Linked DNA regions of Nothobranchius furzeri. The protein of the gene in region 2 interacts with the protein of the main gene of each other region in a biochemical or structural test. Links are inferred from orthologs where the notes say so. Each region holds a gene or a part of one and is shown on either strand. Other genes may lie near its edges. The genes, in order: ptpn12 and bcar1.

Region 1 (11,546 bases), on a different chromosome or scaffold from region 2:
TACTACCTATTCCCTTGTGGTTGGCCTCCACAAACTGATGAAGAACAATCCTTATTGGTGGATTACTGTGCGTCAGGTACCCTTAAAGTGGCAGCGTATAGTATTCTGGAGCTAGGGGGCTGTATATACATTTCAGGGTAGTTTTACACCATATCGCCATAACTGACGTTAGTTTAAAAAAAACATTACGGTAAATGTTACCTGTGGAGCAGAAAGCATGCAACCTCGGCATGACTTCTCAGTCTTTGATGATCCTTTAGTTAATTCCATTGAGAGAATGCAATGGCAATTGTAGTTTTCTGGTGCTGTACTATCCAGATCTGCTCGGGGTCCTGTGCATACTGATGACATCATCATACTATGCCAATTCCGCTTGGCCAAAATATATTGCATCTCTTTTTTGATTCTGCTCTTTCACGTATGTTTTGGAAAATGTTTAGTAGTTTTGATATTGAATTTGTTTTCCTTACTGCCTAAATGTTTTTGCACACGTAACGTAACTTCAGCAAGTCGTACGTCCTGCCAATGATCTACTGTGACATCATTTTCCCCCCGTAAGCATTTTAAGATTTTTAAAGCTCAATATAAATAAATTTATTATATTAATATTATTATTATTATCATCGACAAACGTAAGAACCCAAGCCAGCCTGAAGGAAACATGGCGTCTAATATGGTGCAGGGTTTCCCCCAGCCTATAAGCCTATAAGCCTGGCGGCCCACCAGGCTTTGCATGGCCACCCGCCAGGCTTAGCGTCATGCCCCGCCCCCCTCCCCGACCATACCGTGTCCGCTGACACAAACGGCGCAATAAAACTAGAGCCCTCTATCAGCTGATACTGGTGAGAAACAGCAGCGGAACGTGTGCAGCAACCCCCTGACGGCCGAATCCGCCAGGCTTAACTCATTTTCTGGGGGAAACCCTGTGGTGTCCCCCAAAGACGCTAGACCAGCATCCTATGTACTTTAGACCCGATTTTTATGGTTATAAGGTGCAAAGTTGACAAAAATATTCAACAACTGGACATAATTTTATTCATTTTCAACAACGTTTTGATGGATATTTCCAGGAATTATTGGTAAAAACTACACATTGCCTCTTTAACATAAGATGAGAATAAGTTGAGTCAAACATCTGCGGTGCGACTATAGCTCACACATACAACTGCAATGCTCAAACGTAACATTGTGCAACTCTGGTCCATATGAAGACGTATAAATAACTGCTCCACAACATCCAGTCTAATGTAGCTCTGAAAATGTAAAGCACCAGGATATTAGGATTTAAAAATATGCCTGAACAATCATTTTTTTATAGTCTCTTTTGATTTACTGACTGGGTTGACCGAGAACCACAGCCACAAACATCTCTCGTGTAATTTACCTCCATTTAAATATAACAAAGATGAACAACTCAATGTAAACAAAGGTAATCCCAACAATTAGAATGGATTACGTTGATGTTTCTAATGTGATTCATCATAAATAAAACTCTGGTTTTGATGGCAGATGGAAAAATTATCTGTCCATCAAATGACTTTTAAAAAAAGCCCACTGAACAAAGCATATAATCGCTGACTCCTTACCCCCACCAGAGCCTGTAATTATGCCTATAAAACACATTCTATATATAAACAACAATAGACAGCTAAAGTGGGAGTTGTGTCAGGGAGTTCTGGTGACTCACTACACAGAAGGGCACACCCCATGCGCTTGTGGCAGCGCGAGTTTGACTTCAGCAAACGAGTCTGTCACATAAGGCTTGGCATCAGTAAAACAGGCTGGCAGCGATTAGCTGAAGAACTCTGCTGGTAAATCTCAACTGTAAATGTATGCTGGCACAAGGAAAACACCGGCGCTTTCTTGATTCCAGGCTGACCTGTCATCGTAATCACTTTTCACTGCCGAGGGAACAAATTTTACTTCAAGCTTTGTTTACTAAAACAAGCCAACATTAAAAAAAAACTCTGGGTAACCATGTGACAAATAAAGTTTATATTAAAGCACCACCATACTCCAAAAAAGCTTTTATGAAAAACTGTCTGTGAGTGAAGATACTCTCTGAAAAAAAGCAGGATAGCCTAAAGGCTAACAGAAAATTCTAATGCGGGATTCTGATGGAATTTGTTGACAGAAACCAATAAAAGCAGTGGAAGGTGTCTAAAAAGAGAAATAATTTCTTATTTAAAAGATCTTCCTTACAAAAAATACAAAACTTTGGTTTGGACTGGGACTCTTTCACTTGTGAAACATAAGAACATCTTTGCTGTAAAGGCTGTGGATACATTTGAAGTGCTAAAAGCAGAAGCTACATTGATCTAATTGGCAGCATACATGTACAACAACAGCATAAAGCGCAATAATGCATCATATGTTTATGGAGTAAAAAGAGTTTTGTCTCAGATTATCTGTGCTGTGCAATTAATTACATTTGTGCTCAATTTCAGCTCCAAATGGTTGTAAAAATAAAGTAATGGGCAATGATTTTTACAATGGTTTCGTCGTTCTTTCTAAATGATCTGGTTCTAGAGAATTGTGCATGTATTCTTGTGTTTTTCCATAATTGTATCCTGTTTAATGATTTTTATGCCTTTGTGTTCAGTACTTCAGTCAAAGTTAGCATGGCTAACCTCACAAGCATCTTGTGGTGTTTTAGAAAGTCAGCTCAAGTAAAGATGACAGAATGGGGGTAAAACACAATGGGAGTATACATCACACAACAAAAATACACTTCTACTATTGTCAATTATGATCTTCAATCATTCTGTAGAATGGTTCTGAGTGATATTGCGTTCTAATTTTCAAGCATCTACACATCCGAGCTTCCATTGCAGCTCCTCTCTAGCCTAGAACCGGTGTCCAGCATGTTTTCTTGTTTCTCTACTCCATCACAACTAATTCAGTGGTTGATTCACCTGTACAGCAGCTCATCAAGCTCTTCAGAAGCCTGTTCATCACCTGCTGATTGAAATCACGTGTGTTAAAGCGGAGTTCAAACTGAAACATCCTGGATACCGGCTCTCCAGGACCAGGAGTGAGTACCACTGAACTAGCATGTGGAGGCAGTTTGAAAGGCATCCGTAGATCCCACCCCACAACAGAGAGCCATCAATGGACAGCCAACCAATATATTTATGTAAATAGGATGACCTGCCAGGCTAGCTCGTCTGCTTTTATAGCTAAGCTGTCTGTTAATTTTGTCTTCATGTGAGTGACTGATGAAACTGTAATTTAATTTTGATTATTTGATGTCTTCATGTCTTTTCACCCCCAACAGTTTGGGGGGTGAAACTTGATGCTGGACTTAAATTTGATGCTCACATCATTTCTGTGACCCGGTCCAGTTTCTTTCACCTGAGACGCCTTGCAAAAATCAAGCATATGCTGTCGAGAGCCCACCTGGAGCGGGTACTGCATGCCTTTGTAATTTCTAGGCTTGACTACTGCAACTCTCTCTATGCAGGGTTGTGTCAGTCATCACTGCATCGCCTACTGGTTGTGCAGAACAGCGCAGCCAGGTTCCTGACTGGGACCAGGAAACGGGACCACATCAGTCCGGTTCTGGCCTCCCTGCACTGGCTTCCGGTTTGCTATCGTTCACACTTCAGACTCCTCGTCTTTGTTTTTAATTTCTTCCAGGGTGGTGCTCCCCCCTATCTGGCCACACTCCTGAACAGACATTCCCCATCACGCGCTCTGCGCTCCTCTGACCAAGGCCTGCTCGCTGTTCCTCGTTCTAGGTGTCGTACTCGCGGGGACCGGGCGTTCTCAGTCCTAGCACCGTCACTCTGGAATGAGCTGCCACCATCAGTTAGGCTGTCCCCATCTCTGCCAGTCTTCAAGAGTCGCCTAAAAACACACCTCCTCCGCTTGGCGTTTCCTGAACATGTTTGATTTTGGCCCTCTTTTATGTTGAATTTATTTTACAGTTTTCATTGGTTCACTCTATCCATTGTTTTACACATTTGTCCTGTACTAGAATGTTTCGCCTTTTGTGTAATTTGAATTGCTTTTATTTTTGATTTATTCAATATATTTACCTTCTACTGTACCAAGTTCAGGGCCTTGGGCTTCCTGACAGGGTTGCGGAAGGCACTTTATAAATAAAGCTTTGATTGATTGATTAAATCATTAAAACATGAACTCTGGATACGTTTGGTTCAGAAAACAGATACAATTAGAAATATACAGTTATATAAGGAAGATGGATGGACAACTTTGGTAAAATACATATATTACATAGTCTAGTACCCCCAGCAGAGTTGTGCTTTCTAACAGTGTTCAAGTTGTGATTATGCAATCAGGTTACCAACTCTCAGAATGTTAATGTAAAATAATTGCAACAACAGCTTTACATGATAAATAAACCACAATAAAACTTAAAAGCAGCTCTTCTGCTTTTATCCAATCTCTGAATGCCTTATGTGATAATCCAATTTGATTTTCTGAAATTAAAACTATTCATAGAATTAGTGATGCACTGATTTGAAATATTTGGGCGGATACTGATATCCGATATGAATCACTGTTATGGCTGATAACTGATATTTGCCAATACCAATATACTGACATTAATGCTTCTAAAATCACCAGATTTTGTACAGAATGAAAATTATTAAAGCTGAATTTACGTTATTATGTACACACACCACACACATTTACACTTCTGCGATGATTAAAATAACTGTCACATGACTAAACAAATACACATGACCTCCCTCACCCTCTGAAAAAGATAAACAAATGGAAAGATGGAAAAAATATTGGTTGTTAATATCAGCCTGGTTTTATTTATCGGGCTGATACCGATATGTTAAAAAATGACTTACAAGTGCTGATATCGATATTGATGCCGATATATTGTGCATTCCTACATAGAATTGATAAGTTTAGCGTCTGAGGAGTGAGGACACAACTAGCCCGACATGAAGTTCTAGTTAATGTTTTTGAGAGTATGAATTAGAGTTGAAAAAGTTCCACTATTGAGCCAGCACAAAATGTTATGAAATAGGCCAAGAAAGAATGTTGCAAGCTCCAGCAAGCAGCTTGGATGAAGCAGGGAAGTAAGCAGTGTTTGTTTGCAAGTGTAGGCAAAAGAACTCTGACAGGGATGGGACTCCAAACCAACTCAATCTAAAACATTTAATTCCCGGAAACAAAACATATTGGTTAGTTTGTATTTCAACTATTTGAAAAACAGTTTTTACAATATTTCAGATTGCTAAAAATCACAAACGTGGAATTAAATGTTTGTCCTTAACATAACATTTTGAAACATTGTAATCAAAGCCACCCAACTAAAGTGGCCACTTGAGCACAAAAGCTATTATGGACGTGTCATTCATGTTGTGACTATTTCAGCCACAAGCCCAGGAGTGGGAGAGGTCCAATTAGGAGATCAGAACTGCAACATCCAGACATGTAGTGAGAGGCAGACCCATTACAGAGCAGTCTGTGGTCATCACAAAACAAACTAAATGTGGTTTTGAAATGACTTCATCAACAAACAATTACAAAAAAGGGCTCAACACTGGCTCAGATATTTAATTTCAGGCATGCCCAGGACACAAGTTGCAGCTGATGATTATGAGAGGGAAGTAGAGGAGGGGAGTGGTAGTTTTTGTGGTTGGGTATTACTATTTGCACTGAGTTGCGTGATTATCACACATAACTGTTTAAATTAAACTTAGCTATCATTTTAGATGGTGTAGTTTCACATTACAGGATGTGTTATGTTACAAAGTGAAGATGCAAATACTGGTGAGTCTATCAATCACTGCAGAACACGTGTTCCCAGTACAGTTGTATTTTTGATGTAGATTTAAATTTATACAACAAAGGAACTTGGAGGTAGAGGAACTAGTGTGCACCTAAGATCTGTTAGAATAACACAATAGGAAACACCAGAACATCCCAGTTTAGCCTTAGCTAAAGCTGCTCTTCGCTATGCCAGACAAAAACATCTAATGGCTTTAAGGTGACGTGACTTGTTTTGCTGTTTGCCTCTTTGATTTGAAGACAGGAGTTGGTGGCGTTTCTGTGCGGTTCGGGAGACAATGCAAGGCCGCCATATAAAGGCTGGAAATGGGAGGAAAAGGAAGTGGGCATAGTGTGGCCGCCCCCGCCTCACCTCCTGGGGGATACAGGGAACCATAAGACGGGAAAGGGGGCTCGGATATAAAGGGTCAACATGAGGAAAACGTGGATATTTTGACACAGGAAAAATTAAGAAGTCTAGCTTTAGACTCCTGCTGAATTAGGCTCACCATAAAGTCGCTGCCAAAGTTGTCCTCCCCCCTCTTCTCGTCTCTTTCACTCATGGTCTTCACCCCCTGGATAAACTGTCTCAGGATGCCGGCTTGGTCCATCTTTCAGTCCTCTTAAAACGCTGCCTTTTTCCGTTTAAATATATCTCCCAGACTAACAAGGGGAGGAGAACATTAAAAATAAAACAGCAGAGGACAAAGGAGAGGGAGAAGGGGAAATAAATAAAAATAAATAGGCTTTCACGGGTCCTCCCAGAGAGTCATCGTCGGTCCACAACACAGCACATTTATTTATTATCGCCCCATGTTGTTTCTGCCTTTCCTTCTTTCTTCTGGACTGTTTTCACGACAGCAGTTAGTCCCAAAGAAAAGCTGCAACGGCCGGCTAGCCAGCCCCTCGAACAAGTTTACAACCGCGGCGTGGAATAAACTGTCAGTACGAGGCTCGGCGAGAAAATACAAAATAAAGAAAAAATACCAAAAAACCCGGTCCGGTCAGTCTCTGTACCCCTCCCTGTCTACCTCGATTGCCACATTCACACTAGTGCTCGTTATTCGCTACTGGAGAACATCCGGACTGGGCAAAACCGACGAGATGTAGTCCCGCCTTTTCCAGGATATACCTGTTTCTGATTGGTAGCAAGAGAACGTGTGACAGAATGTTATTGGCTGAGACGGCTGCAGCTCTACCAAACGGCCTCGCGTGATTGGATAAAACTTATGCCTGTTTTTCTCAGTTTATCAGCCACAGGCATCCAACATTCATAGTGGGAACAATCAATCAATCAATCAATAAATAAATAAATAAATAAATAAATAAATAAATAAATAAATAAATAAATAAATAAATAAATAAATAAATAAATAAATAAATAAATAAATAAGATATCCATGTAATGTGTATTATTGTCACTTCAGAAAAATGAACAGACGTATCTCCTTTTAACAAAACAATATAATCAGCAAAAGGTTCAAATCAATTTATTTATTCAGCATGCAGAATTTGACATGAACTGTCCCCTTCCAGCGAATGAGGCTACAATGTTATTACACATATGCTGTAATTCAGTTAAAATGATAATTATACGTTTCAACTCAGTCTGTCATACAATTTGAAATGTATTTGTTTGTAAAAAAAATTCTCTAATAAAAAGACAACAAATCAGAAGTCTCATTTATGATATCACAGCAGACTCTGACACTTTCCACATGGTCAGATTTATAGTGATTTTCTTATGTTTAATTCTCCTTCTTTAGTCCTGGAAGATGGATGTGAAGCTCGCTAAACTCAAAGCCATTTTTCTTCTCTTTGGTTTGATGATGTAAAATTGTTGGGACGGGCAGTACATCTTCCCACACAAAACCTAAAGGATCTTTTGTTGCCTGTTGTGAATAAGTACTTTCCTGGCATCAAAATGTGTCATTAAAATTCCCACAAACTATAAGTGAAATCCATGACACATATCGAACAGGATCAGAAAATAACTTTTATCACCACAGACTCCCATTTATTGTTTTTGATAATAAATGGGAGTGTTTTCTTCGCTTTTTTAGGAAGTGAGTCACATCACAGCTGAGCCTCAGTGGAAGAAGATGGCCGTGACTTTTGTCTGGTAAGAGCATTGCACAGGGAAGCAACAAATTACACTTTAATAGATGGATCACAGTATGAAGTAATAATATGCCCGGTATTGGAGGTAGCACAGTTTACAGCTCTGGTGTTACAGTTTTTCATCCAGGAGGTTAAATAGATGATGAGCTGGGTGAGATGAGTCTTTTAAGATATTTTAATACTGCTAATAATGCATTTAAATTGCAACAGAAAAATCAAATTTAATTCATGTTGTCCATAGAATGTCTAATCTAGAAAATGGTAGTTCAACTTTTATTATAGCTCAAAAAATGAGAAGAACAGATGAAGAAGACTGGTGTTCTCCGTAAGACTTTTGGGAGACAGAAACTCAATAGACCTTCATTCCTGATGAACCATTCTCCAATAAACTAACACAGAAGAAAAAGGGAATTGAGCTACTTTGTTTTCCTTTCGTTCTACCAGTGACAGAAAACAAAACCATCTATTCACTGGGAGCAGGAGCAAGAAGAAGAGGGGACGCTGTCGCTGTGCCAGCAAGCTTTTACTCACACAAGCTGCTTTTTGTTGCTCTAGTCTTTAAACTTATTTGCTTGTTATATCGGCACATACTGAGTGTTTTCTTTGCTTTTTTCCCCTTCCTTGTCCCTTCTGTTTCCACTCCATCCTCATTAAGCAAACCTTGTTTCAGAGTCTCCAGTCCAACTGCTGCAATACATCATCAAATATAGAATTCCAAATGTATAGGCTGTATATATATATATATATATATATATATATATATATATATATATATATATATATATATATGTATGTGTGTTGTTTGTGAGAAACGATTCATGCCAAAGAAAGCAACCACTGATGTTGTTTTGATGATGAACACTTGGTTTTTATCTTGCGTTATTTGGTCCTTATTTGTTTTTCTTTGTGTAAATGTGTTGTACACTCATTTAATCAATACAATTGTAGTGGTTTCTAGCAGGAATGAATGCACTGTAAGTCGTTCTCGGAGGGCAAAAATGACTGGTGCACCATTTCTAGGAACTAGAAGTGAGTCACATCACAGCTGAGCCTCAGACAGCAGCTTTTGGAGTCTTATGTCCTCCTATTTGGTCATCTCACCTTGCATTGGATAACAGCAATGCAACTCTACCACTGACTTGCAATGTGGATATTTTAGCTCCACAAACAACTTAAGCCTGGAGGAGTTATGCTGTGTGGTGGAGTTGCTAATGCTAACGGTTAGCTTCTAATAGTCGAGAAGTTCTCTGCTGTTTCCTGGACGCTAAACCAACAACAACCTTCCCCGTCGTGAGTCAAGATGGATGAATCCATGCATGTTAATTAAGAGTGTGATGTAGATCTGTCAGGCTTTTCTAATCCTAGAGTTTCACCTTCTATTTTCTGTCAGAAGCTAATGCTGGAGCTAGGTGTAGGAGACTATTTTCATGTTCAGCCTGCATGAAAAACTCAGAGTGACCAATTATAATCAGAAATAATAAAAAAAAATGTTTTTCTGGAGTTCTAGACCTTTAATGAATTGCTATTTTACAGTATTTTCAAAGAAAAACATCAAATGTAACAAATGCATATAAATATATGTTTGGTTATTTTACAGGTTCTGTAAGATAACTTTTTGAAAAACATTGAACACATTTTTGATTCAAAGGTTTAAAGCAAATTATAGTTTGTGCAGAAATGATTGATTCGCTTTATGAGAGCACGTTAGTTCCACTGGTGTAGAAATACACACCAAAGATGATCATGCGTGTCTATGTATAACTTGCCTAATAGCTGCATGGTAGGATGTCATGACCTTCCTTTTCTACTTTCCCAGGCTGGCTCTCGTTACTCTGTACTTTATCTGAACCTGACCTTTGACCTCCATGTGGGAAAAGGGGGGCCAGGGGTTCAAATATCACACCAGGGATCGGTTACATGTAATATTATTTTTCCCATCTTCCTCCTTCACCAATTTCCTGTGTTCCTGTCTTCCCACTTTAGCACAGAGCGCAGGAGGAAACTTTGTACGTATGTCTCTCCCTCTCTGTTCCTTTCTTTTATCAGTTTGTCTCCCGCCATTCTTTCTCTTTTTGATGACTCTCTTCTTTTCTTTTCTCTTCCTTTTCTGTCTGGAATGCACTGTTCAGAAGCAGCTGAGTGAAAGAATGTTGTTGTAACAAGCCCATACACAACCCTGAGGTAGGGAGGATCCTTGCACACGCTCTCACACATGCACACAATCTGCATCTTTCCCTCACCCTTGTGTTCTGTTTTATTTTGAGGTGTGTGGAGGGAGAGCAAGAAAACGTATGCATGAGAGCTGGGGAATATCAGGTCTGCAAGCACACACAGAGGACGTGAGCCTGCCTGTTGTAGTGACATGAGGTGAAAAGTCTGCCCTCAGGCTGCATGAATCAGTGGCAGGTTGCACAATGCTATCATGGCTCCTCCTTTATTGGGTCCATTAAAATAAATCATAACGCAACTAGTCTGGTTAAAAAATATATGCATAGACACCGTTGGCTCTGTATTCATTTCATGCATTTGTACAACTTATTTTACTTCCATTAATCTCTACTTCTTCTTCTTGGGAGAGAGGTCCTACCTCAAGTGGAGGAGTTTAAGTATCTCTGGGTCTTGTTCACGAGTGAGGGTAGGAGGGATCGGGAGATCGACAGGCGGATTGGTTCGGCGTCTGCAGTGATGCGGACGCTGAGCCGATCTGTTGTGGTGAAGAGGGAGCTGAGCCAGAAAGCCAGGCTCTCGATTTACCGGTCGATCTACGTTCCAATCCTCACCTATGGTCATGAGCTTTGGGTAATGACCGAAAGAACAAGATCGCGGATACAAGCGGCCAAAATGAGTTTCCTCCGTAGGGTGGCCGGGCTCAGCCTTAGAGATAGGGTGAGGAGCTCGGACATTCGGGAGGGACTCGGAGTAGAACCGCTGCTCCTCTGGATCGAAAGGAGCCAGTTGAGGTGGTTTGGGCATCTGGTCAGGATGCCTCCTGGACGCCTCCCCGGGGAGGTGTTTCGGGCATGTCCTGCCGGCAGGAAGCCCCCGGGTCGACCCAGGACACGTTGGAGAGATTACATCTCCAATCTGGTCCGGGAACGCCTTGGGGTCCTGCCGGAGGAGCTGGTGGAGGTGGCCGGGGAGAGGACGGTCTGGAGCTCCCTAGTTGGGATGCTGCCCCCGCGACCCAGACCCGAATAAGCGGAGGAAGACGACGACGACGAGATAATCTCTGCTTCTGTTATATAAGTATTTTTATATGATTTACCCATTATCATCTTCTATAAATCATGCAACACTCATCCAATTATGGGTGAAAAGGAGCATGCACAATTACTGTACAGCTGCTGAAATAAACTAACTCACTGCAAAGCTTTGCTGTGAAAATCCAGTTAAAAGTAGCCTTTCAGAGCCATCCACACCCTGGGATCTGTGTGGTTTTCTGTTGGAAGTCTAGGGCCATGACCTCAAGAACAATGTAAAAATATCCCATCTGTTTATGTTTATTTATTTAGCAGACGCTTTTATCCAAAGCTACTTACAATTTATAACCTATAGGGCATGTTGTGATCTGTGGGGGAAACCAGAGTACCCGGAGGAAACCCACGCATGCATGGGGAGAACACGCAACTCCACGTAGAAAGGCCGCAGCTGAGTTTTGAACCTGCACC
Region 2 (11,602 bases):
TAGTTGTCACAGTCTGAGGTGAGTGGTTACCACCTAACCTCTACAGCCCTTTTTAAAAGACACACACTGCCGGAAAATCTGCATAATATTACCGCAACAGCGTGTCTTATGAACGCGCCATGCCAGCATAGCGTTGCACTAATGTTGCGGCATTCGTTCTGCCTTGCTTGGTAGTAATATTGCTGTAATTGTCTGTCTTATAAACGGTGATTGAGGTGTCAGAGGGAGGTGTCCCGATCACATGGGGAGTTATTGCCCAGCTCCGGCTGGAAAATAAATAGAAAATGAAAGTAAATACGAGCCGTGAATTCCCCTTCTGTAAACAGAACCAGCTGAGATGTTAAACTGAAGCAATGCAGCTCTCCAGGAGCTTCTTTCCATTAGAGCTGGAACTAAGATCACCAGAGACTGCACAGGGAGTGGTGATCAGACACCTTTAGGAGCTGCTTGTTAAAAGACTTAACGAGCACGACTTCAATCGTAATAAAAAAAAATCAAGTTATGTCCAAGATAAACGGAAGTCCGCGGCAGCGCAGAGATCGCCCCATACCCCCTTTATACCACCATTGCATAATGCTAGTAAAAAGGACATGATTGCACAACTGTACCGCCACAGTTATGGCCACTGACCACTTATAAACAACATAAAGCTCCCTGATGCCGCCACGGCGTTGCAGCAAATAATGGCATTGTTTTGTAAAAACGGCTTGGGAGTGCTTGATTGCAGGTGGGAGAGCGGGCCCAGCTGCCAGTTTGCCAATCACCGGGTCTGGCTATTTGAGGAACCAGAGTCTTAATAACAATACACAGGTCACCGGATGATAACTCGCTTTTGGTGCCACCAAGCTGAGAGTCACCTGCCACCTTTTTGAAATGACCTAAGAATCGTTCGACTTCCCTAACCTCTCTTTACTCTCCAGGTATTCCAACCATCACCAACAGATCAACGATAACCTCCCTGATCCACACTCAAACCCTGCAACCAGACCTTCCAGCGTTCCACCACTCATCCTGTCTGGAAATCTAGAACCAGCCTCGAGTGCCCCTTCCTGCACAAGCTCTACCTACAACCACTGCCTTGGACTGGACCTCTTCCCCTCTCGAGCTCAAGACCATCTACAGAACTGTAAGCCTTAGCAACATATTTCCTCAGCCCAGCGAGTCACTCTTCTGGAGCCAGAGCCTCAGCATTCCTCGCCCCAAGTCGGTGGCACTCCATAAGTTGTCCTTTAGTAAATGTTATTTGATTTATCTCGTGTTGTGACTGGTTCATCACGTCTTAGGTCAACAACCTTAAGCCCAACCTGACAGTGGTGTTCTGTTGCTGAATATGTGAGTGTTAGTTATGGCTTGAACTGGGGGGGGGGGGGGGGGGGGGGGACCAGAGAGAGAGAGACATAGAGACAGACAGACAGAGAGAGAGAGACAGACAGACAGACAGACAAAGAGAGACAGACAGAGAGAGAGAGAGAGAGAGAGAGAGAGAGAGAGAGAGAGAGAGGAGAGAGAGACTTTGACTTTTAAATTATTTAAATTTCTTTACAGATCAACAATCAGTGTTAATGACTGAAACTTGTTTTCCACTAATAAAACCAGGAAAACTGAGAAACCCAGTTTAGAAGTTGATCTTTAGGGAGCCCTGTCCATCCAGCAGACAGAGCACCTGCCCGATCCCCCACACCGCTCTAAAGGAGTCCAGGTTCCCAGTAAGTTCATAAAAAGCGTGTTCGATCTTCAAGCGAGCTTCCACCAGGCCCTTCAGGCTCCGCTCAGCATCAGTCCAGCTCTGTCCCAGCATCTGGTTTTTCCTGGTTTTCCAGATGGCTAGTTTTGCACATGCAAATAAAAAGTTAATTAACAATTTTGTCCGTTTTTTCTGACACTGTACTTGGGCCCGAAAACAAATAACGGAAGGGTAAAAGCCTCCCCCAGTGCACTAACCCACCGTTCTAAAACCCTGAACATCCCTGATAACCTAGAACATGCTACCACTAGATGCTCTAGGGTCTCTGTTTGGTTACAAAAAGGACATCCCTCCCCGGTGCTTGGATCAAAGTGGGCTCTGTGTCTGTTCGTAGCTAAAGCTCCATGTATGATCCTCCACTGGAGGTCTGCCATCCCTTTTTTCCACTGGAGACTTATACAAAGTCCTCCAGCTGCCCCCAGGGGCACGGTCCGCAGCAAACACCTGAGTCCACCTCAACTCCTTGACTCCTAACAAGGAGCGCCTATTGATAACCTTCACACAAGTGTGATAGATCTGTTTCTTCCCACAAGACTGGAAGGAGCCCAACACTGGAGAGTTCAGGTTCAGCAGTAATCCACTCTCCTCCTGCCATCCCTCACCAGCTGCTTTAACCTCCAGAGATGGAAAAACGTACTCACTGTCATCATCCCATTGGTCAGATAGAGTACAAGTCTCAACGAAGGCTCTCTGCGACACAGACAAGGACCTCCGTACCTCCTCCACCACTCTCTCCATCACTCTGGTGGACCTCACATCAACCCGCTCACCAAGGGTTCCAGCCGGGATCTTCAGTAAGTGGCCAAACTTTACAATCCCAGCATCGGTGAACTTCACTTTCAACGAAGACGAAGTTAAAATGCCAGCTTGAGAGAAGAAGTCATTGTCAAACAAGGGTTCTTGTAGCAACCATGTCCCTGGTCCCGTGTCAGGTGCTCGGGAAACCGCCAGCAGCTTAAAGGTGTCCAGCACTGATGAGTAGAACGGACTAATCCTTGTCAGATCCAACACCTTCCGATTCAACAGGAACAGGTGTTTGTTCAGCCCAAGCCCACCAACCTTCTGCAGCAGGAGATGAGCCAGGGGGAGCCAGCGGAGTCCGTCACCATAACAAAGCTTCTGAGCTGTCTGTAACCTGAAGGCTGCAGTTCTAGACACCACGTCTATTAGTCCTTGTCCTCCCTCTGACACGGGTAGGCAAAGAGCCGAAGCTCTGATCCAGTGGTGACCAGACCAGAAGAATTTCACCAACAGCTTCTGAACACCTTCCAGCAGACGGGGTGGTGGAACCAGTACAATCAGTCTCTGCCACAGAAACGAGGCGACGAGGTTGTTTGCTATCAGAACCCTGCCCCTGTAGGACAGCTGAGGGAGCAGCCATTTCCATTTAGACAACCGCGCCTCCACCTTCTCCAGCACCTTCTCCCAGTTCTGTTTCTGAAACCTTTCCCTACCCAAGTACATGCCTAGTGTTTTAATACCTCCCGTTCCCCACCTCAACCCTTCTGGCAGAGGCGGGACATCACCAAGGTCCCACCCCCCACTACACATGCCTCACTCTTGTCCCAGTTAACCTTAGCTGAGGATGCTTTCTCATGTAAACGTAAACTAGATCTGAGTTCTTGTACATCCTGCTGATCATGGATGAAAACATTCACATCATCTGCATAAGCAGACACAACTAAGGGAGGACTGGAGTCAGGTAAAGGTAGGTGTACACCTTTCAGCCTGTTCCTCAGCCGACACAGCAGCTGTTCAATGGCTAAAATATACAGTTGTCCTGAGATGGGACAACCTGTCTGATTCCTCTTAGAACTGGTGGGTTGGCTCAGGCCCCCCGCTACCTTCACCATACAGCTGACATGACATGACAGCATCTTAATCCCTTCCAGGAAGGACCCCCCAACACCAAAGGCCTGTAGCGTAGAGAACAGGATCTCATGATCAACCCTATCAAACGCCTTTTCCTGATCAATAGAAATGATACCTGCGTTTACATCATACATTTTACAAACATCAAACACATCTCTCATTAAAAATAAATTGTCCATTAATGACTTTCCTGGTATACAGAAGGACTGATCGTCTGGGATTAGACCTCTGATGAATCCCCGAAGTCTATTAGATAGGAACTTAGAAAAAATCTTATAGTCTGAACACAACAAGGAAACTGGTCCCCAGGTTTTTAGTTGGGTTAAGTCCCCTTTTTTCGGCAGCAGGGACAGAACGCCCCAACTACACGATGCAGGAAGTGCTCCTGTCTGAAGTGAGTCTCTAAAAACATCCATCAGGTCCTGTCCAATACTGCTCCAGAAGAATTTGTAGAAGTCAGCGGGTAAGCTGTTCATCCCCGCAGATTTACCTGCAGCCATCTGGGAGACTGCCGTTGTAAGTTCCTCCATGGTTATGTCTGCATTTAAGATTCCCTGGTCTACTGTGGTCAAGGAAGGAAGCCCCTGCAACAGCTCTCTGGCACAGTTCACATCACATGGGGCGGCCTTAAATAGGCTGGTATAGAATTCTACTGCATGCTTCCTCATCTCCACTGGGTCTGTGGATAACTGTCCATCTGACAGACGCAGGCCAGCCATTTGTTTTTTCTGGTTTGAAGTCTTTTCCAGGTTAAAAAAGAAGGATGTCAGAGCATCCATGTCCTGTATTGTGGTGAGACGAGCCCAGATCAAGGCGCCTTTGGCCCTCTCTTGCAGGAAATGCCCAAGCTGCTGTCTTTTTTTGGTCTAAGGTGTGCTGTTGTTGAGTAGTAGTCTAGCACCCTGATGTCCTTCTCTAGATCTGCCATAGTCTTTCTTATTTGGTTTGTAGACCCCCGCGTGTAATGTTGACAGAAAACTCTAATTTGTGCCTTCCCTTGTTCCCACCATTCACTGATGGTCTTAAAATCATTCTTTTGGACCGCAAAGCCTCCCAGAACAGCTTAAAAATGTTGCAAAAGGTAAGATCGTCTAATAACTTTATATTAAAGTGCCAGTAGGATTTTGTCGTCCCCAACAAAATGAAGCATCAGTTCAGTTAGAGAGGAGAGAGAGAGAGAGAGAGAGAGAGAGAGGGAGAGAGAGATCCTTAGGCAGTGTTTGTGAAACAGATCCTTTGGAATTTGATGGAAAATAACTCAACAAGCTCGAGCAAATGCCTTATTCCACACACACGCACACCTGCACACACACACAAACACACACACACGCACGCACACCTGCACACACACACACAGTGCTATCAGCTGCTCTGCTGAGCTGACTGGCCAGGTCTGCTGGAATGAAGCCACCAGACCCTGGCTGACATTGGCCTTCATGCAAACAGCCTCCCGGAAGGGGCGGGCTGCTCCTTTAAACCCGCTGGAGCTTCATGTAGGCCAAAGACAAAGAGTAACATGTCACCACCAGCACATATCACACACCGTGTTACAGTAATATGTGTGGGCTCACATGATAACATCTTAATTACTGTAGTGCTATGGAACCGGGCGGCCCGGGCCCAGGCTGTTACAACCATTAACATGGAACACCGGAGCAACGACTGGGAACACCAACATGCGTCTGACATACTTACAGGGATAGACATTTTGCTGCAGCTGTCCTATTGCGCCTTTTCCTGCCAGTTGCGTCTCTAGCGGGTTTTATGCACAGCTGCGCTGGCGTCAGCCGTTCGTGGATTCCATGGAAAAGACTCCTGGTAGGAAAGGAAAGCTCCCAGCGGGAGGAAGAGGTCGGGATTTGTCTCAGTCCAGCTGGACTGCTGCGTAAAAATGCGCCTCAGAGGCGCAGATCTGCAGCAGCGGTAATGCGATCGTCCGTATGACCCGCAGACTTGACGGTTCTCGGTCCTCCCTCAAGTCACTCTGCCTCGGACTCACCCCCCACGGACGCGCGGCTATAACAGCTGGAGCATGAAGCAGCTGCGGCTGGAGGCCGAGCGGAGCGGGTGGAGCACAGCTGGCTGCTACCGTCCGCCCACCACAGGCTGGATCCTGTCCGCTTAAAGGGCCCGAGCCCCCCTCCCATCCACCATCTTTGTGTGGTTTGGGGCTACTGAGAGACGGGAAGCTGATTAAGAAGTTCTGTCCTAGCATGTCCCCTTGACCCAGCTGGGGGTGGGAGAGAGGACTCTAGTGAAAATAACATCACTGTTGGACAGTGTCCTCCATCCCATGCATGAAGCTGGTGTGGAGCTGGAAGCTCCTTCAGTGCCAAACTGCTGCATCCTAGGTCCATCCTCCCAGCAGATGTTGGACTTTATAAACACCAGTGCTCCCAGCAAAACCAGTAAACAGTCTCTTGCATTCCTTCATTCCTGCTGCTTTTATGATTTCCTCCTTCCAATTATCCTCTGTCTGCTTCTTTTTCAGCACATCCTGAGCTCCTTCAAAGGAGTCTCCTACCATCTTTACGCAGATGACATCCAACTGTACATCTCCTTTAAGCCCCATGAGATGTCTAAGCTGCAGCTGTTACACACCTGCTTAGACTCTATCAAAACCTGGATGGCTGGGAGCTTTCTACAGCTGAATGAAGATAAGACTGAGATCCTCATCTGTGCCCCAAACAAGCTGGTTCCCAAAGTCAGAGACTCTCTTGGTCAGCTTGCTTCTCACACCAAACTCTCTGTCAGGAATCTTGGCATGACCTTTGACCCAGTTCTCACCCTGGATTCTCATGCCAGTTCTCTTTTTCGCTCTTCTTCTTCCATCTCAGGAACATTGCTAAGCTGAGTCCCATTCTGAACTTGAGACTTCTCCACACCTTCATCTCCTCACGCTTAGACTACTGTAACTCTCTTTTCACGTGTCTGAGCAGAACCTCCCTGAACCGTCTACAGGTGGTTCAGAATGCCTGTGCTCGGCTTCTGACCAAGTCCTCCAAACACACCCCCATCTCCCTGCTTCTCCTCCAGCTTCACTGGCTGCCAGTCAACTTCAGGGTTCATTTCAAGATCCTGGTTCTGGTCTATAGGGCCTTACATGGACAAGCACCATCTTACATTGGTGATCTTCTTAGTCCCTACACCCCCAGCAGGTCCCTGAGGTCCAGTGATCAAAGCCTACTGGTTGTGCAGCACCAGGCTAAAGACCAAAGGTGACAGATCATTTGCTGCTGCGGCCCCCAGACTCTGGACCTCTCTCCCCCTGAGATCAGTGGACTCAGTGGTCTCCTTTAAAAAGCAGCTGAAAACTCACCTGTCCAGGCTGGTTTTAATGTCACCTTCTGCTGAATCTTCACTAGTTTCTCTTCATGCTGGTGTTTGTCAGTTCTTTTTCATGTTCCTGTGATGACATTTTCTTTTTTATTCACATTTTTCTGAACTGTTTCCCATTTCTCCCATTTTTATTATATAACAATATATATTTAATTTTTTTTCATTTATTTTATTTTCTTGTGAAGTGCCTTGTAGTTTTTATCTAGAAAAGCTCGATACAAACTTTCTTCTTCCATCAAAGTTGGCTCCATCTTTAATCTCTCTGCTGGATTTCATTATTTTGAACGATGGTGTCAACAACGATGCCTCTTGTTGGGAGAAAAGACAAGTCCTTCCAACATCATTTGGTCGTCTTTCAACTGTAGAAAAGGGACCAAACACATTGATGGCGGTTACATCACTTACAGTTAGTATGATACATGCTATACAGCGAGAAAAACTTACCTGTGCTCTTCTCCCTGATGATGCTGCCCACAGACCATCTGCTCAGACTGGGATGACCTCTGTCCTGATGTCCCATGAACGACATAATGGAGAATCCTCCTCCCCTTCCTTCTAGGCCATCACCAATCACATGGACTCTTCCTCATCTGCCTCTCTGGACAGATGAGCCACTGGTGAACTCTGAACTTTAACCTACACAGTTGGTCTGACCACATCATTGGAAACACGTGTAACTGTGACCTGATAAAGTACGTCATTAAAAATGTATCGTTAAAGTTCTTGCCCACAAATCCACCTCCCGAATTTATTAAAGATGGTTTTGTATACGAAGAATGTATAAAGATCCCTTAAGTGAAATATCAATGTCTTTCATTACTTTATTGAACCTGTTGATGGAACACACCAAGTCATGTTTAAAGTGATTAGGTTTCCAGTCTTGATTCGGAAACGGGTAGAATGCCTTCTCCGGGTCAGGGATGAGGTCCTGCTCCAAGTGGAAGTTTAAGTATGTTTGGGTCTTGTTCACGAGTGAGGGAAAGCTGGAGCGTGAGATGGATAGGTGGATTGGTGCTGCATCTGCAGTGATGCAGGCGTTGTACCGGTCTGTCGTGGTGAAGAGAGAAGGCAAAGCTCTCGATTTACTGGTCCATCTACATTCCTACCCTCACCTGTGGTCACAAGCTTTGTGTGGCAGTGTGAGCGTCCTGTCAGTGTCCCAACTGATCATGCGCCCTGGCTACTTGGCCAAGGGGACATCCCTCTGGCTGACTGGTAAGTGCACGTGACTCTCACCCAGGAGTCTGGGGATCGAATCCCCCCCGTGACCCTCGTTTCTCCACCTTGTCACATTTGGGCAGTGACCGAAGAACGAGATCACGGATACGAGCGGCTGAAACGAGTTTTCTCTGCAGAATGGCTGGGATCTCCCTTAGAGATAGGGTGAGAAGCTCAGTCATCCGGGAGGGTGGAGAGGAGCCAGCTGCGATGGCTCAGGCATCTGGTCAGGATGCCTCCTGGACGCCTCCCTGGTGAGGTTTTCCAGGAACGTCCAACCGGGAGGAGACCTAAAGGTAGACCCAGGGCATGCTGGAGGGACTATGTCTCTCACCTGACCAGGGAACGCCTTGGGATTCCCCGGAAGAGCTGGCCCAAGTGGCTGGGGAGAGGGAAGTCTGGGCCTCTCGACGTAGGCTGCGGCCCCCGCGACTCGACTCCAGATAAGCGGAAGAAAAATGGATGGATGGAGTCTATCAGCATGTTTGAATCATTTAATAGAAACAAATAAGAGGCCAGGTTTTTTCTGAATCTGGAACATTCTGAAGGACGCAGCACATTTGTGACTCCATCATTATTCAATGAAGTAATTTAAGCATGTATTAAATTAAAAACACCAAAAGTAGCAAAAAGAGGCACCAGGGAACCAAAATCCACAGCCCGACCCTTTCTCACGCTTCCTGTGTCCACAGATGTGAGACGGTTTCAACTGCTGCTCTGCTGGGGATAGGGTTAGGGTTAGGATTTGGTGAGAAAATATCACAAAACACTTTCTAAATAAAACGTTCTAAACTCTATCCACACAAGGGAACCGTGTGACTGGCACAAGGGAACCTAGAACCCCGTAAACACTTAGGAAACTCCCTCGTTTAGAAGTTCTCACCAGCAGCTGCTGGGACTTCAGCGTAAGCTTCCCTGCATGATGACAGAATAAAAACAACCCAAACATGGACGAGTTTAACTGCACACGTACAACATGGTAACGGGGTGGAACAGTGGGACGAAGGCTGTGACCCTAACCCAGACACAGCAGCTGAATGGAACAGGTCACAAGGAGAGGGTGCTGAGTTATTCCAGTCGCTGGGTGCCAACTCATCTCACCGAACCGCTGAGCTCCGGATCAAAGCCCCAGGTCCAGCTGGAGTTCTGACGAACACCAACCGTACCGCTGCAGCCTCCAGCTGTACGTGAGTTTGTGAGTCCTTCTTTGATCAGCGTCATCGCTTCATGTTGCTCAGCCTCACTGCCTTTTCCCGCTCAAACTGACGATGGTCAACACGCTCCAGGAAGTTCTTCCGCTCCACGTACCTGACCCCCCAAACACACACACACACAGACCGTTAGTCACAAACAGTAACCAGTAACTAACCTGATAAGATTACACAAGCTGATCTGGGCATGTGGTTCAACAGAAGACCCTGGGGTCGACCCAGGACACACAGGGGAGGGTGGGGGAGCTGTACTGTTTTTGATGCTAACCAGGAGCAGACAGAACAGTATCTCACCCCTCTTTGCCTCTGTTGTGGATCGCCAGCTCATCTGTGATGCCCTCTTCATATTTAAAAGCATCCCAGTCCATCTTTGATTTTTCCAAAGTGCTCATTTTCTGCTTCTTTCCTCCAATACGACCCAGGATGCTCGACATGCCAGCAGAACGTTTAGCGCTGCAGCTGCAAGTGGAGATCAGAAGAACAGAATTGGACCTGACTGGTACTGCCCAGGTTTGTTTAAATCTACTCAACAGTAAAAGTCCCAATAAAGCCACCGAGCTCATCTGTTCACTCTAATTTCACTAACATCCATTTTGGGATTCATCACCACCGAGTCAGACATCTTTTACTTTTCTACACACCCGGGTTTTACCTGGGACCAGGAAGAGACGGGGGACAGAGGGACGAGTTCTCGCCATTCTTGGTCTCGTCCTGTTGACTGTTCTGGCTCTTCAGAAAACTCCTGGCTTCCTTGGAGTCTGCTGATACCTCTTTATGCACCCTCAAGAAGAGACACCAACACTGTTAAAATCCACATGTGTGTGTGTTCACACAATATAATACACATTCTAGTTGAAATGGGGGTGCATGTGCTGGTCCTGTCTGTGTCTCTGCCGGTTCTGACCCTGCTCACTGCAGGTGCAGCTGAACACGGCAAGTGTTCCGGCTACAAACTGTTCAGCCAATAAGAATAAAGCACTCCCCTTTGTGTCTCTCACAGGTTTATACTGAACTGAGATGAAAAAGCACTTAAACATTTAAAAAAACAACAACATAAAGATGGGGTTGAAAGCCTCTAAAGTGTTATCTTGGAGTTAGTGATGGTAAAGCAGACCTGACTTCTTCTCCAGCAAAGTCAAACACTTTAGTGATGGTGATTTTCTCTGGTCCTGCAGCTTTTGTGTCTGTATTCTTAGGAGGAGTCTGCAACACTGAAGAATGCATCTAAAAACACAGATAAAAGAACAGATCAGAGTTTTTATATGCTGGCACATGGCTGGTTGTCTTTAGCAGAGAAGCACCAGCCCTTTTTACTACCCAGACACATGGAAACACTGTTCTGTCTCGGGTTACCTCCTTGTTGGTTCCAGACTCAGCAGAAGGTGCCGAGTCTTTGGGTCTGGTTCCAACATCAGACAGGAAACTGGCCCAAAGGTCATCAGATTTTTTCTTCTGTGTTTCTTCATCACCACCGGCGTGTGGGGCTAGCCGCGCCTTTTCAGCCCCACTTCCGACCGTCTCCTCTTCGTTTAACCTCTGTGCTCTGTTCCTCCTACTTCTGTGAAGTTATGAGTTTTTTTTTTAATTATTTCATCACTTCCTGCAAATTCTGTGGATGACGTACACGTGGAGCCCCTTACTTTATGCCCTTTTTCTTGCCTTTCCTGTCAGGATATGGTACGCTTTCATCTTCATGCAGAGCTTCTTCTTTTTCACATTCGTTAATATCATCCTCGCTGAGGTTATCATCTAGAAAACGGCGCAGGAGGCAATAATGAAGCAAAGCCACGAGACACAGGCTTACAACACTTCGTCTGATGTGACCACGGATACCTGGGTCTCACTAAGGACACTCTGGAAGTCAAATCTGTGAATAAACTGCTTCCTTGTTGTTGTTATTACCAAGACAGTCATAATCCTGTCAGCATGCTAGTCTCCGATTTACCAAGCACTTCTTTAGCTTTTATCCCGAGCACAACACGAGCTCTCACCTGAAGGGATGTAGTCCGCATCTTCATTTGACACGTATCCGTCTGAGTCGTAGTCGGAGTAACTCATTGAACCGCAGGAACGTATCCGTGGAGAACAGAGAAGTAGCTTAGCACCGAGCGCTTAGCTTAACGCGGGAATGTGGCGAAAACAAACAGGAACAAATAAACCAGCACGCAGCTACCAGCTACTGATTAGTAGTTCCGGTTGCTCTGGAGCGAAAAGCAGG

The links.
Region 1: the proteins of bcar1 (region 2) and ptpn12 form a complex in vitro, tested with the Homo sapiens proteins (3 studies listed by BioGRID and IntAct, with this or other methods). The link is inferred for Nothobranchius furzeri from reciprocal best matches to the Homo sapiens genes BCAR1 and PTPN12.

Annotation. Positions count from the first base shown.
Region 1 is NC_091741.1:48,571,615-48,583,160, forward strand, and holds the start of ptpn12 (tyrosine-protein phosphatase non-receptor type 12), read right to left. Parts: upstream 6,589-11,546; 5' UTR 6,369-6,588; coding exon 6,267-6,368; intron 1-6,266. UniProt on the Homo sapiens protein: Dephosphorylates a range of proteins, and thereby regulates cellular signaling cascades. Dephosphorylates cellular tyrosine kinases, such as ERBB2 and PTK2B/PYK2, and thereby regulates signaling via ERBB2 and PTK2B/PYK2.
Region 2 is NC_091754.1:40,229,915-40,241,516, reverse strand, and holds the start of bcar1 (breast cancer anti-estrogen resistance protein 1), read right to left. Parts: upstream 5,926-11,602; 5' UTR 5,324-5,925; coding exon 5,312-5,323; intron 1-5,311. Other genes in the region: cfdp1 (craniofacial development protein 1), read right to left, coding at 9,391-9,481, 9,679-9,843, 10,037-10,165, 10,499-10,608, 10,738-10,942, 11,025-11,133, 11,376-11,442. UniProt on the Homo sapiens protein: Docking protein which plays a central coordinating role for tyrosine kinase-based signaling related to cell adhesion. Implicated in induction of cell migration and cell branching. Involved in the BCAR3-mediated inhibition of TGFB signaling.